Linked DNA regions of Oryzias latipes. The protein of the gene in region 1 interacts with the protein of each later gene in a pairwise test. Links are inferred from orthologs where the notes say so. Each region holds a gene or a part of one and is shown in the gene's direction. Other genes may lie near its edges.

Evidence for each region.
Region 2: the proteins of wt1 (region 1) and dvl2 interact in a two-hybrid assay, tested with the Homo sapiens proteins (2 studies listed by BioGRID and IntAct). The link is inferred for Oryzias latipes from reciprocal best matches to the Homo sapiens genes WT1 and DVL2.
Region 3: the proteins of wt1 (region 1) and wtap interact in binary tests that used the Homo sapiens proteins (3 or more experiments, as listed by UniProt). The link is inferred for Oryzias latipes from reciprocal best matches to the Homo sapiens genes WT1 and WTAP.

Annotation. Positions count from the first base shown.
Region 1 is NC_019864.2:23,910,170-23,914,853, forward strand, and holds part of wt1 (Wilms' tumor suppressor 1), read left to right. Parts: intron 1-804; coding exon 805-904; intron 905-3,215; coding exon 3,216-3,360; intron 3,361-4,684. UniProt on the Homo sapiens protein: Transcription factor that plays an important role in cellular development and cell survival. Recognizes and binds to the DNA sequence 5'-GCG(T/G)GGGCG-3'. Regulates the expression of numerous target genes, including EPO.
Region 2 is NC_019876.2:14,921,432-14,926,289, forward strand, and holds the start of dvl2 (segment polarity protein dishevelled homolog DVL-2), read left to right. Parts: upstream 1-1,466; 5' UTR 1,467-1,798; coding exon 1,799-1,959; intron 1,960-4,858.
Region 3 is NC_019882.2:7,324,859-7,329,641, reverse strand, and holds the start of wtap (pre-mRNA-splicing regulator WTAP), read left to right. Parts: upstream 1-1,391; 5' UTR 1,392-1,474; exon of another isoform or gene 1,475-1,611; intron 1,612-1,664; exon of another isoform or gene 1,665-1,741; intron 1,742-2,152; 5' UTR 2,153-2,160; coding exon 2,161-2,190; intron 2,191-2,292; coding exon 2,293-2,348; intron 2,349-2,421; coding exon 2,422-2,480; intron 2,481-2,575; coding exon 2,576-2,703; intron 2,704-4,036; coding exon 4,037-4,215; intron 4,216-4,783. Other genes in the region: sod2 (superoxide dismutase [Mn], mitochondrial), read right to left, coding at 1-118, 466-494. UniProt on the Homo sapiens protein: Associated component of the WMM complex, a complex that mediates N6-methyladenosine (m6A) methylation of RNAs, a modification that plays a role in the efficiency of mRNA splicing and RNA processing.

The DNA of each region.
Region 1 (4,684 bases):
AGAATCATCCAGGACTGGAGCAGCAGTGGGTCTACTGGACCACAGACATTGTGTCATAGAGCTACAGACAACTGAGGGTCATCATCTGAGAAATCTAGACTGTTATTTGTTGATCTGACACAGAGAGAGCATTCACACTTTATGTTTTTAGGCCTCAAAGAACGTTTTGCTCTGTGGTCCTCTGATGGTATTTTATGAATTTTAATTCACAATTTATTCTTTTTTTTTCCATCAGTGAATTTAAAATTACCATTTTCTTTATATTTAGATCTTACAGTAAATCATATACATTTTTTTAATTCACATTATATTTACCTTTATTTTATTGTTAAATGTATTAGTAGCACTTTGGCGATAAAGTGTAAAATCCAACCTCATGTTCTGTGGCTTTTGGGATGATGGAACATACATCTTAGCATATATCTTCTCCTCATCTTCCAGGTGAGCTGTTTTCTTAAAAAAAAGAAGAAATTTACTGAGCTCGGACAAAAAAAAGGGAGGAAGAATTATCAACGTGCAGCAGAAGTCATGTCTGGTCTGTGATTTGCATTATGGGCTGTAACTGACAAGGTGAACATGTCTGAATAATGTTGCCCTGCTGGCCCCATCTTACTAACAGCAGCTCATACTCGATCTTTGTAAAATGTTCTTCTAATTTGTGGAATCGATGTGCAGTTTTCTCAAAACCAAGCATTTTTGTGTGTGTTTTTATTGCACTTAGAGGCTAATATGATTTAAAAATCCAGACATTCCTATTTTATAAAGTGTTAATTTTATCGCATCATCTTTCTTTCTGTCTTGCAGTCATGCAGCTGGCTATGACAGTGACCCCAGCACCCCGATGGTGTACAGCTGCAGCACCCAGTACCGCATACACACTCACGGAGTCTTCCGAGGCATTCAGGTGGGACTGTTGCTGCCGCTGCCGCACACACGCACAATCGAGTTCGAGAGGTCGCCGTCGGGTGAAATAGATCCCAAACGCATTTACTGTACACCTTCTTCACTGACTCACACACATGCCTGAAAAGCATGTGATGGTGAGTAATGCAATAATCAGGCTTTATCAGCAAAATGCTGAGATGTACCAGAGTACCGACGTGCACACAAAAACCTTCACGTACGTGCTGCACACAAAGACAGAAGGCATGCTTTTCACGGCTCCATTTGCAAACTCACTTGGGGCTACGCTGTCATGATACAGCTTCCATAGGAGGATCTTCATGTTAATAAATCATTAGATCTCAATTATTGTCTGTCAGCGGCTCTAAAGGACAAGGAGCAGGAGATTCTCCAGACCTGCTGCGGAGGCATTTCTGTCAGGACTCTGCTTCATTTGTCACCATGTTCCTTTCCTTTTTTACAAACTCTGGCTCTGAACAAAAGAATAAAAACCAGCGCTTAGACCTTTTAAAGTATAATTTAAGAGCTGCTAAAATATAAGGCAATTTGTTGAGTCAAAGGTCCGCTCTGATAGAAATTGTGTTTTTGTAGTTTTTAACATATTTGTATGGTACTTTTCTCATGTTGGAGGACATAAGTAAAAAAAAAAAACTTAAAATAGCATTTCTGAGTATTTTTTTATTCAAATTGTGAATCGGGAGCAGATGAAAAACTGCAGCTTGAAAAAGAGCTTATTTGTAACAGTATTGGTTGTTTCCATCAGATGTAAATATTCCACAGCAAAAAAACAGGATTCAGACAGACTAAAGTAGGTGCAGGTCCAACAACAGGAAGACTTTCAAAATAAAAGAGGACTGCAATTGAAATGAAGAAAAATACATATTTGAAATTAGAAAACAAACCATGAACAAATAAAACAAGTTTGAATAGTTTAGGAGAATATATAAACATAAAAATTGACAAACAATAACAATATTTAGATAATTTAATAACTGATTAATATGTTTTTCTTGTTTATTTCCTTTCCTTACAGCTCTAATTTTTGTCAATAAATCTAGATGGAGCTCAATTTCTATAGGTTTAAATTTTAATATCTAAAATATATTTCCACAGAAGTCTTTAGCTTCTCCTTTGATAGGTTATCGAATCGAATCAAATCAATCTTTATTTAGTACACTAAGTGCTGTACATCAAATAAAATAAAATAAAACAAGCAAATGAATACATTGAAAAAAAATAATTAAGTTGGGGCGAGGGAGGTCTGGGCATCTCTGCTTAGACTGCTGCCCCGCGACCCGGTCCCGGATAAGCGGAGGAAGATGGATGGATGGATTGATAATTAAGTTTAAATAATAAAATAATAAAAGTTAAGGAGAGGTATTTTAAAATATCTATGCTCTCTTTTATGGTGTTAAACTTAAACACAGTTTTATTTATCATGTCTTCCCTGACCTTATTTGGGGTTAATAAATGAAATATCCTTGATTATCTTTATTTTAACGCTGGTTTGATTTTTCTTCAGTTTTCTCTAAAAGAAACCAAAAGAACATAAATATATTCAGTCAGTATATTTTGAATGATAAAAATGAACAATTTTCATTTAATAAAATCCTAATCTCACATTTAAACTGCTTTAGAACTTAAAACTTATCATAAATTTAGATCACTTTAAATTTGAAATTTAAAGGTTTTATTCTGTGAATTTGTGGTCAGTGGCTCTCCAGTTTGCATCAAGTGCAACTTCAGGAGTGCCAACTGCAACAAAGCTGACCTCTGAACACTGTGTGATCATTATGCTAATCAGTGAGGAAATTAGGAGCAGATGGCTGGAAACAGATGAGATACAGGCAACATGGGGGAAGAAGGAGAAAGGTGCAACATTTGAAAGAAAGTAGAGATAAGGGAGGAAAACCTGCCAGATATGAGAATAACATTGTTAAATTAACTTTGACTTTACATGTTAGCTAAAATGCAAATATGGGGGTCATTTCCTGTCTTTGTCCTCAGACCAAGACTGCAGGGAGCTGTGGGGGCTCTGGGATGGCGCTCTGCCTAGAAGGCATGACTAACAGCTCCCTTTGGGCTGCATTCAGTCTGGGGTCATCTGACAGCTAATTCCAATCTCATGAATATTGGACTGTTTTATTAAAGTTAACCCACAATCAGACAAATGACATGCCTTATTAACACACGGGGCAGACTTTACGGCCCGCAGTCTGAATTACAGGTTACGGTTCCAGTTATTGATGTCTCTAGGAGGCCTTTGTTTATTCCATCTTTACTGATTTTAATGTGTGTGCGTGTGTGTGTAGGATGTGCGACGGGTGCCCAGCATTGCTCCTGCAATAGTTCGGTCAGAAAGCAGTGAGAAGCGACCGTTCATGTGCGGCTACCCAGGATGCAACAAGCGCTACTTCAAGCTGTCTCACTTGCAGATGCACAGCCGCAAACACACAGGTGAACCAACTAACTGTATTTTAAGAAGAATGTTAACACTTAATGATTTAGCAAGGTGACTTTCAGATTCATGAAATCAAGAGAATCATGTGAAGGGATTTGCTCAAGGAGACACTTACCTTCAGTTTTGCGTCTTTTTTCCTTCAACAGGTTTTTACCCTGTGCTACTGAAATTTAACCTGACTTAAAAAGACAAAATGTACACAAAAAGTCTCCATAGATGATTTAGATTTATTTTAGGAATTTTTTTTTTTGCTGTCATGACTCCTATCAGGAACAATGATGAACAGGGCTGATGGTTGCTTTTTTGCTCCATCCAAGGAGCAACAATCAGTCTCTGTGGCATGTTTCCTAAGCATTACGATATAAAATAATAATAATAATAATAATAATAATGTTTTGGATTTTCTCTGCTTTCAAGGGGAAGACTTCCTGCTTCCTCTGTCTGGACCTTGCATCTGCTAAGATATCTCTGAAAGCATTACTAAGATGCTTTAGTGTTGATGCCTGAACATTGTGTCTGGGCCTGAGTGAATGTTTCTCAATAAGCTGCAAAGAAAATTTATAAATCAGTAATCATTCATTATTGGAAAAACACTGAACTGACGTCATACCAACATTGCGTCATACCAACATTGCGTTTTACCCAACTTCTGCATCTTGCAGAAGTTGGGTAAAAACTCATTGATTGAATCTCTGCTGATTGATCAGGTTTCTTATTGAAACATTTTTGCCAGTTTTAGCCATAGCTACATTTGTTGCTCAGCCCTTCACCTTAGAGAGAAAGAAAATTCAAACCAAAGTAAAAAATAGCAAACATATAATGCTTTAACTGAGATAGTAGCTGTGTTTTTAAATCCCCACCAACCTCCACATACTTGCTAAAGACAATTACTTTCTTTTTTTCAGAAAAGAAACTGTTCAAATCCTTGTTTATTAATAAAAAGGACACAAAAATGCAGTTTTTGATGGTTTGGAACAAATTTCAACATTACTTGGATCAGCAAGATCAAGCTCTTTACCACTCAATGGAAGTCCACTGGATTTTGACTTCTTGGATCCAGCAGATACTTCCTGTTTGGAACACGAGAGAGGAGGGCTCACTCAGTCCAGATCCATACAGTCAATGGTTTAGATTAATCAGAATTCTCAGAGTTCTTTATTTTGTTGCATTTTGTTGCATTTTTAGCAATTACACAGATGTTAGAGAGAGACAACAAACAGTTTTGTTCTGCTTATAAGGATGTTCCAAAAGATGAAAAGCCATTTTCCATACCTCCATTATTTTATTGTTTCCCTGATATACAGCATGTGATGTGCGTTC
Region 2 (4,858 bases), on another chromosome or scaffold:
CTTTGTGATCTTTTTTGAGAAATATGTTATAACAGGAGAACCCAAATAAATGCCATTTAAAAAATGAATAATGGAACATGACAAAACACTGTTTGTGTAAGTTCACTGTATATTTGTGATATCAATGTTTATTTCAGTAAATTTCTCAATTATAGTGTATTTTTAGGACTCTTTTTTTATGAAACCTTCTTTAAATCACATTGTGTGTGAATGGATTTGCCTTTTTGCTTTTTATGCTGTTTATCTGCTTCATTTAGCATTCTCACTTCCTAATCCCATCAGTCCCAAAACATCTCAGCAAAACAACTCATCAGTAGAAACCTTTTATCACAACTCAGATGACCACAATGTTTATTTTGATATTTTTAGTACATTTTATGATGGACTCGAAGTCCAAATGTCAGCACTGAAAAATAGAGGAAAAAATACGGTTGGACTGTGATGTAGTGGGTAGCACTCATGCCTTGCAGTGAAAAGGTCTTGGTTCAAATCTCAGCTGGGACTTTTCTGTTTACATGTTCTCCCCAGTTCATAAACATGCTTCATAGGATAATTGGAGTCTCTAAATTGTCTCTTGGTACAGTCCTGCCGTCTTATCACTCAATGCAAAAACATACTAGAGATCACAACGTTAATTAAAAAGCAAAATACGGATATATAAAAATCGATATTACATTTTTGGAAAACAAAATGGAATGTTAAAAAACGAAACACGATGAGAAATTGAAAAAGGTGACTGGATGATAATATCCAGTATCGCTTCATGTCAAATAACTTTCAGCTGAAATGATGGACAAACGTCATCGTCCATCAGCGATGTCCCAAAACCTTTTCCAGTGTCTCATCATCGTTTCTTTTTACTAACATTTCATTTTGATTTCTGGAAATTACTTTTGCATTCAAAAATGTGTTTTTCTTTTTTGTTTTTCATGGAAACCCCCAACCTATGGTGCTCGGCATTTTTGTTACACGGTAATGTTAGGTTGAGGGTGTGAGGGGCTGGAAGCTAGTGGGTTTTCAGATTTTGTGTGAAAACTGCCTCAATTAAAAGACACTCGGAACGCTTTAAGATAGATACAAACTTTAATTTAGTATTGGAAAGTTAATCAAATCAATTTTAAAAAATTCAACAAAAATTGGGGACATCTTTGGATTTGTGTATATAAAATTTAGTAGAAAAAAATAATAATTTAACAATATTTTCCTTTTTTTACCATCAAAACTAAAACAGATAATTACATGTGTGTAAGGTTTATGACGCTATTAATTTTTAATATAATTTTTAATCAATGTTCGGTTTTAGTTGCAATGGGTTTATGATTTTTTTTTATTTAAATGTCTTTAATTAAAGTAATGGGCAATGGACTTAGTAGAGGGGCCTCCCGTACGTAAAGCAGAAAGGGGGGTGCGTCCTTACGTCACACGCAACAAGTGGTAAAAAGTTGTTGGACCCCCCGCCCCCTCCCACCCCTCCTCCTCCCCTGTATGTTTTTGTTGAGGGAAAAGTTGTTGGGAGTTTTGCTCGTGTGAATGCAGCGCCTCCGCCGCTTTTCGGCCCTCGGTACTAGCAGAGGGGAATGCCCGCCGTTTCGTTCCTTCAAGTCGGAGAAAGAGCCGAGGAGCAGAACCTTCCAGATCTTTATGTGAAAACGTAACCTTTTCGGGCTCCAACGTCTCGTTAGCTTCCTTGCTAGCTCCCAAAGTTGACGCTACCTCGCCTCACACTCACCGCTGTGTGTCCCGTCGGAAGTTAGCGGGTTTGTGGGGAAGGAAAAAAAATTAACAAAAACCCGCAGAGATGGCGGAAACCAAGATAATTTATCACATCGACGAGGAGGAGACGCCGTACTTGGTGAAGATACCGATAGCTGCCGAAAACATCACTTTGTTGGATTTTAAACAAGTGTTGAACAAGCCAAACTACAAGTTCTTCTTCAAGTCTATGGACCAAGACTTTGGGTGAGCTGCTGAGATTTCTTCTTCCTGCGCTGAACATGAAAGGATTGATTACGCTAAAAGTAAAGGAACTAAAATTTAAGCGACCAAACGTTCATTCAGAGGCTCATATAATTCAAATTGTGTGGCAAAAATAATATACACATTTATTTTTTCCTACTAGTTTTCAGTGCGTCAGTAGCTGAAAAAAACGCTCCAAAATAGCAGGAAAAACCGTTTTAAATGACATTAAATGTGTATTTTTTTGTCTATTTAGTTTGTTCCTTACAAAACTGTTGGAATAAACGACTCACTGAGTTGTTTTTTCTCCTCTAACGAGAAACCACGCAGTGATGAAGATCATAGCGGTTCTTTAAATACTTTGGATTCTGTGGAATATTTTCAGAATAAAAGACTCCCATTACAATGAGAGGCATTCCTCGGCCCTGCAGCTTTTCTTAGCCCTAATAATCCTCCTCCTCTTCCTCTCCCCCCTCTCCTTCAAGTGAACTCCTCTTTTCTTTCTTGCGGGACTGCAGCCAGAGTTTTGTCCTTTCTCCTTCACACTTCAGCCCGCTTTCCATCCTTTCAATCCCCAACTCCTATTCTATGTAGCTTCTCCTTCAGGTAGAAGACAGGAAAACTGTCTTTCCTCTTCCATGTCATGGTCTGTAGTAGAGGAATGGACGATGGTTAGTTTAAGTCGGTTTCTATTATTATTATGTGTGTACTTGTCTTTTGGTTGGACCATCAGGATATTTATTCTCTCAACCAGAACCTTGATTTAAAAAAATATATAATTTGTTTTATATTGTATTGTGCCTTATAAACTCTAATTAAGATATTTTGAATTGAAATCAACATGGATTTATCACAGGTTAGGCAGTTCTTATTAAAGATGTTTCTGTAGTAGAGAAGTATGCATTCCTCTATAGCTTCTAGTAGCCAATTTCACTCCTGGGTTTTAGTCACAAGGACCTTTTGTTTTTTTTGGGACCATAAGACGCTCCTAAAATCAACAGTGCATTGTATGTATGAATTCTGGTTGTGTTAATTGATGTGGAACCGATTTTCTTTGGTAAATGGCGCTCAAAAATCTGTCCAAATACTTCAGAGAGACTTTGGTAAACTACAAAGCTGCACCTGGAGCATTAAAGCCTTGTTTCCACTCAGCGATCCGGTCCGGTTTAGAAAGCGATTCAGGTGAGCGTTTCCACTCAAAGTTGGACCGGCGCATGTGGGACGTTTGAGAGAAGATTGTGGTCGGCAGAGCAGAACACAGCCGCTTTCTTTTGTTGTAACGACCTTTAGCCAATCGACAGGTTTCAACAGTAGCTCCGCCCAAACCGATCTGTTCCATTTTTCTATGGACCTACAACCAACAGGGGCCCAAAAATGGTACGGTTAATGGGTCCATTTTACCTAGTGAAGTGATACGTATTGTGTTTCAACATAATGGATTGAAAAAGTGTTCTGTATTTTGTGTTACAACTGAACAACGTTGAGAGTTACTGTCAATAAAGTTTGACTTATCTGCAGAGTCTGATTATTGCAGGTAGGAGAGAAGAACTCAGTTCACTAGAAAAAGGTTCCATCAACCCCCTCTTGACCAATTCTATGCATTAGGCCAACTTTGTGCATTCTGGCTATTGTAGTTATATCACATGAAATGACTGTTGTATTGCTCAATCTGCCTTATGGTCCAACAAATCTTTTTGGTTTTAGACCCTCCAGAAAATAACCCATCATGGAGAGGGGCTCTTGATTCCACCTTCTAAAATCAGACAAACATATTGAATATCCTTTTTGGTTTAACACGTTATTTTTGATCCAAGTGGCTCGTTTATATATGCTCACTTTTCAGTAGAATTATTGTTTCCAAATTCTCATAAATGATGCTGCACTTGTTGTAGCTCTCATTTTTTATTGGCTCAGAATTGGGGCTGAACGATATGAAGAAAACTTGCGATATGCGATATGAGTGATCAATATTGCGATAACGATATCATTTGCGGTAAATAAACAAATAGCAAAACAACCAAAAGCATCATTCCCATTTCACTGCAACAGTTTAAAATGTATAGTCCAAATGAACCTCGGCGAGGTAGGATGCAAACATCTAACATAAAAGGGTCCATCCGATTGGTCAAATGCATAAAGGGATTTATTTGATTCATTAAATGCTTCAAGCTGCCATAAGATTGTTTTAGCATATTTAAGGTAACCATTTATTGCGATTTGTGATGACTTTTGCGATATGCATATTGCACAGCTTGATATCGCGATAACGATAAATTTGCGGTATATTGTGTGCAGGCCTACTCAGAATGCAGTGTGACGTTGTTCAAATTAAACCTTTATTAAACCAGAATGGTCAAGTATTGACAAACGTAGGTTAAAGAATAAAGAATCAATCAAACCCAGAGCTAAAGTTTTTTTAACCCTTTTATCTTGGATGTTGGCAATGACACGTTTGTGCAAACACTCTTTACACTGAAAAATGTCAACGCTTTCTAAAAGATGAGACGCTACAGACAATACAATGTTGTAATGGGCAAAAAACTCAGAAGTTCACAAATAGCCCCTATGTTTCCAAGGAAGACAGTTATTCCTGGTTAATTTTATTCTTTTTCTGACCAAAACTGTTACAGTCAATGTTACAATAAACAAACTGAGGCTGTCTACATGCCTGCAAATGCAGAATAACTGAATTAGCAGATATATACAAATTAATCCATGGAAATATGGTCATTTGTAGATCCTCATCTACATGGTTATCTTGGAAGAAGCTTTCAAAGTTTCGGTGACTCAAGGCCCATTATTGACCCTTGTGCTACCCTAGGCACTTTAACATTGGGAGTTGGGTCATCTAGACCCACTAGACAGTGCCCTGAACCTTTTTTCTTCAATGATTTGTGATCTT
Region 3 (4,783 bases), on another chromosome or scaffold:
CTCTGCACAGATGTGGGGCTCCAGGGCGCCGTAATCATAGGTCAGGTCAGGAAGTGTGTGTTTCTGCCTTGATGATCCGACTTTCCAAGAAACAGTTTGGTGCAGGATTGATGCACAACTGAGAAGGGGGAGAAAAGGCAAAAAACTCAACATCGTTGTGGCAAATAACCTTTTTTTAGCTTGTGATTTTAGCTCAACAAGCCAGTGACATTTACCAACCAATTAAAGTAAGAAATAGAAAACATGAACGAATTTGTACATGCAATAATACTTAAACGCTTACACTATACTAAGAGTTGTTTTCGTTGTACGTCACAAGTTTTTAACTAAGCAGCTAAACCAGATTAGCATTGAAGTTAGCTAACAGTTAGCACAACAAAGCAAACAGTTTTCCACGCTGCTGATACAAGTATTTTCTTTTAGTTTTTGAACTTTACATAAAAATATAACGTAGACACATCTTACCTGCGCATTTGCCAGACTTTGCAAAGCATGTTTGCTTAAAGGTTAGAGAGCCAAGAAAAGTGAAAACAAGGCGGTATTACTGCCCTTGAAATGGGCAATTTCAACTTGACAGCGGAGTCGACCGTACCATTATCAGAATATGGGGATGTTATCGAAAATGGCTTAAATTCATATAAGCTTGAAAGGCAATATATACTATTTTTATATATATTTATAAGATAATAATTATATTTTCGGCAATTCAATTGCAACCAACGTCATCTTTTAAATTTTGAGATTTATTTCTCGGTCTTACCACTTTTCCTTAGCCCTGTCTTTTGGTAGATACCGAAGATTTATTGTAACATGGGGCCACATGTGTGCGAAAAAAATTTTTTTAAGCCCTTTTCGTTTATTGTACTCAAAATTTAATCATATTAAACTATACAATATTTGTAAGGTTGAAAATTTGTAACAACTTTGCGTCACGATTAAAAAATAACTATGTAACCATTGGAATCACGTGGTCTTTGCGTCACTGTGTTGAAATGGATACCAAAGATCGTCTATATCTACAACGAACCACTCTACATAATTTAAATGCGATCTGTTGTGATTGTAAATTTTGTGATCAAAGTAAATCCAGTTTTTTGGTTTGCAATGCAAAAAAGATGAAAAGACGCGTAAGGTTATGTCACATCAGCAAGGAAATAAATTAATTTCCCTTTCTTAGTCATTACAACATTTGAGAATAGTATTGGGTCAACAGCTTTGGATCGTTTTCTTTAGATAAACTAATAATGTAATACATCGCAAACCCAGAAACATTCAAGGAAAAACACAGAACTAAATGCAGTTTTAAATCTTAAAACATTTGATCACAACCATTTTGATTGTCCGGAATTTTAGGATCGGAAAATGTGAGCGTAGTGAGCAGACTTTTCTCTCCTGTCCACTGCTGGTATTACTCCGCAGAAACTCAAGTGCAGTGCAGCACCTCATCCTCCAGAGCCGTCCTGTTCTTCTCTCGGTAAAGGGGATGATTCTGAACACTTAAAGACGAGGCCACAACTTTTAATCAACCACCACTCTTTACGCATTTAAAAACAGTTACAGAGAATCTGTAAACCTCGAAGGTTTTTCGAAACATTGAAGCGAACGGGCCCGGTGAGTGTTATGATCGCGTAGGCCGCGTGACTGCAGCTAAGAGCCCGCTAGTTTCAGGAAAAGAAGCGCAGGGGTGGGAGTCATTTCCTTCACCGCCATTTTGTTATAACAAGAAGCCGAACATAGCTAAGTAATTATACACTTGATGCTTAGATAAACGACACGTTGAAAGATAACATCGCAGGTCTCTAAAATGTGTTTACGTCGCCGAAATGCTAAACGATTATTAGCAGTGAGGGGTTAACCTTGAGTACTTTTTAAAGGAAACCCTCCGCCGCTGACTGCAACAGTCGTTAGTAGTACTCGGCACGACATACCCTATTATCGGGTTATGTTCACTTTAGTTTCGCGGGTTTGTTGAATATAGCAATGGCAGTTCACTGTTGACACTTCAGTTTTGTCGGGAAGGCCCGTTTATAATAATTTTTGAGGGCGTCTGTGATCAAACGTGACGTCTAATATTTAACTGCGTGACGGCCAGCGCGAGGACAGGATGCCCAACAAAAAAAATAACACGTTTTCTGCTTATTTTCATTCCTAGAGAGCACAATGACCAACGAAGAACCTCTGCCCAAGAAGGTGAGTCTGATCCAGATTAAAACTACTCTTTAAGGGTGCTGTTGGTTGGTAATGGATGTCTAAGCAGCTTTTTGTTTATTCTATTTTTATTTTATTTTACAGGTTCGCCTCACTGAATCTGATTTGAAGACCTTGACCAGAGAGGAGCTGTGTACACGGTAAACAACAGCCCCTGTCCCCTCCTGTCTTCTGATGATGTTGAGCTGTTTACATGGATCTCATTCTCCTCAGGTGGAAGCAGCATGAATCATATGTCCAGGTCTTGGAGACTAAATATGCAGAGCTGTGTTGTAAGTTCACTTAAAAAATAGATCTAGCCCGTTGCATCGCAGAGTGTCGGCTGATGAGTTTGTTTCTCTTCCCTCCCATCATCCACCCCCCTCAGCCAACGACGTCCCGGGCCTGAAGGAGTCTGAGGAAAAGCTAAAGCAGCAGCAGCAGGAGTCGGCTCGGAGGGAAAACATCCTGGTCATGCGACTTGCCACCAAGGAGCAGGAGATGCAGGAGTGCACAGTAAGTCTCTCGCTCAGGTTTTTAATATGCAACACTAAAAAGATGAGTTGTTCTAAAGTTGCAGCACCTGGAAGAAATATTTAATGCTTTCTGTATCGTTACAGTATAATTTCTAAACATTTTTCTGCCTTTATTAGATAGAAAGTTTGAAGATAAAATGTTAAAAGCATAAGAATCACTAAAAAAACTTGACAAACCTGAAAGCATCTGTCTTTAGGGGATAAAAACACCAAAATATTAGATTCTTTTTAATTAATATTTCTTTTCAAATTGCCTACAAGGTGGGGGTTGTTTTTTATTTTGGAGTCTATCAATTTACCAAGACACATGTTAAGGATTTATAAATTGCATGAAAGGGAATGTGTGTTAATGAGAACACATCTTGGTTTGTAATCATTCTAGATGAGAACAAGTTGTGGTGGTTTGCAAGCTTTTACATCCAAATATTTAAAGTATTTTCTTTCTTATCACTTTTTAGATGTGGATACTGAATCGCCTGTTTGCTATTTTAAAACGACACTAGAGTGAAAGCAGCTTTTACTTAAAGCCTCGGATGAAAATTGTGTTTTTGACATGTTCTTGTGGGGTTTTTCTAATGGAAGAGGACATATTTAAAGACAGTTAGGCTTAAAGTTGCATTTCTAAGTATTTCTTTATTCAAATCATGAATCAGGAGTGGTTGGTAAAATTCTGCTACATAGGAAAATAGACTGATCTCTGATCTGCTGCATTCTGATCCATCCACTTGTAGGCAGATCCACGTGCGTCTTTGTTTTCCTCGCCTGAGCTGGCATCAGGCTCAGAACTCGTCTGGAAGGCTCCAGTATTGCTCACGATTTTTGTTGCGCTGGTAATGTTAGGTTGAGTCTGTGAAGGGCTGTAAGCTAGCAGGAGAGAGCGATAACAAATGGGTGGAGAAGCAGAGGCAAATTTCTAACGAACAACTGCCTTTCTGCAGAAAATATGTCCTTTAAAATAAAGATATTTTTTACATAATTTTTTTCTACAATTACTTTGTTTTTATATTCTATTTCCTTTTAAGATTACAATGCTATTGTAACACACAAATTTCCCATGTGTGGGATCAATAAAGTGATTCTGATTCTAAAAACAACATAAGCGTAATTACAAGACCACTGGGAAAGTTTTTAAAATCACTCAAAAGAGGATCGAAGTGGGACTTAAAACTAAGCGTCTAGACGCAGATTAGCCTAGATTTTGATCTATTTGAAAGCAGTTTTGTTACATTTTTAAAGGGAAGATGTTTAGGTGTTAAAAGCAGCTTCATAATGTGTGTGACTGGACTCTAACACCTGCCTGTTGCCTCCTACAGACACAGATCCAGTACCTGAAGCAAGTCCAGCAGCCGAGTGCAGCCCAGCTGCGGTCGTCCATGGTGGATCCAGCCATCAACTTGTTTTTCCTCAAAATGAAGGCTGAACTGGAACAGACTAAAGACAAACTGGAGCAGGCCCAAAATGAACTGAGTGCCTGGAAATTTACACCTGATAGGTAAAGACAATCAAAATATCTCCCCCCACCTAAAAAAAAAACAAAACAAAAAAAAAGTCAAGACTTCCTCACGTCCCCCAACCTCACTCTCACTGCAGGCATGCAGGAGCAATGGTGGGGGGGGGGAGAGGCTGACAAAAGCTGTGCTCACCGCGAGGCTCAGACTTGACAGAAATCCAGACACTCCCAAACCAAACTGCTTTTGCACTCTCGCACCGTGCCAGCTACACATCACACAATTTAAAGAGAAAAGACAGTATGGTCAGGTGACACTTGTTTCGGCTCTCTCCTCTTATATCCCCCCGCCGTCCAAAGGGCCCGATGGAGTCCGGACTGCTCTGAAGAGGTGGTCTCTCATTTCTCCACATGGAACTGCCTTCCATGCCCCCTCAGACAGTTCACATATTAAGTAGGGGGTCATGGGAGAAGTTGTGTCCGGCAGGGAGCATCCCTAGCCTAAAGCGGCAATCGAACATTTAAAAGACATTTAAAAAGAAAAAAGACATTTAAACTGTGGATTGCTTCACATAAACAGTAGCTGTCCTGAGAATTTGAAAGACTTTTTGGA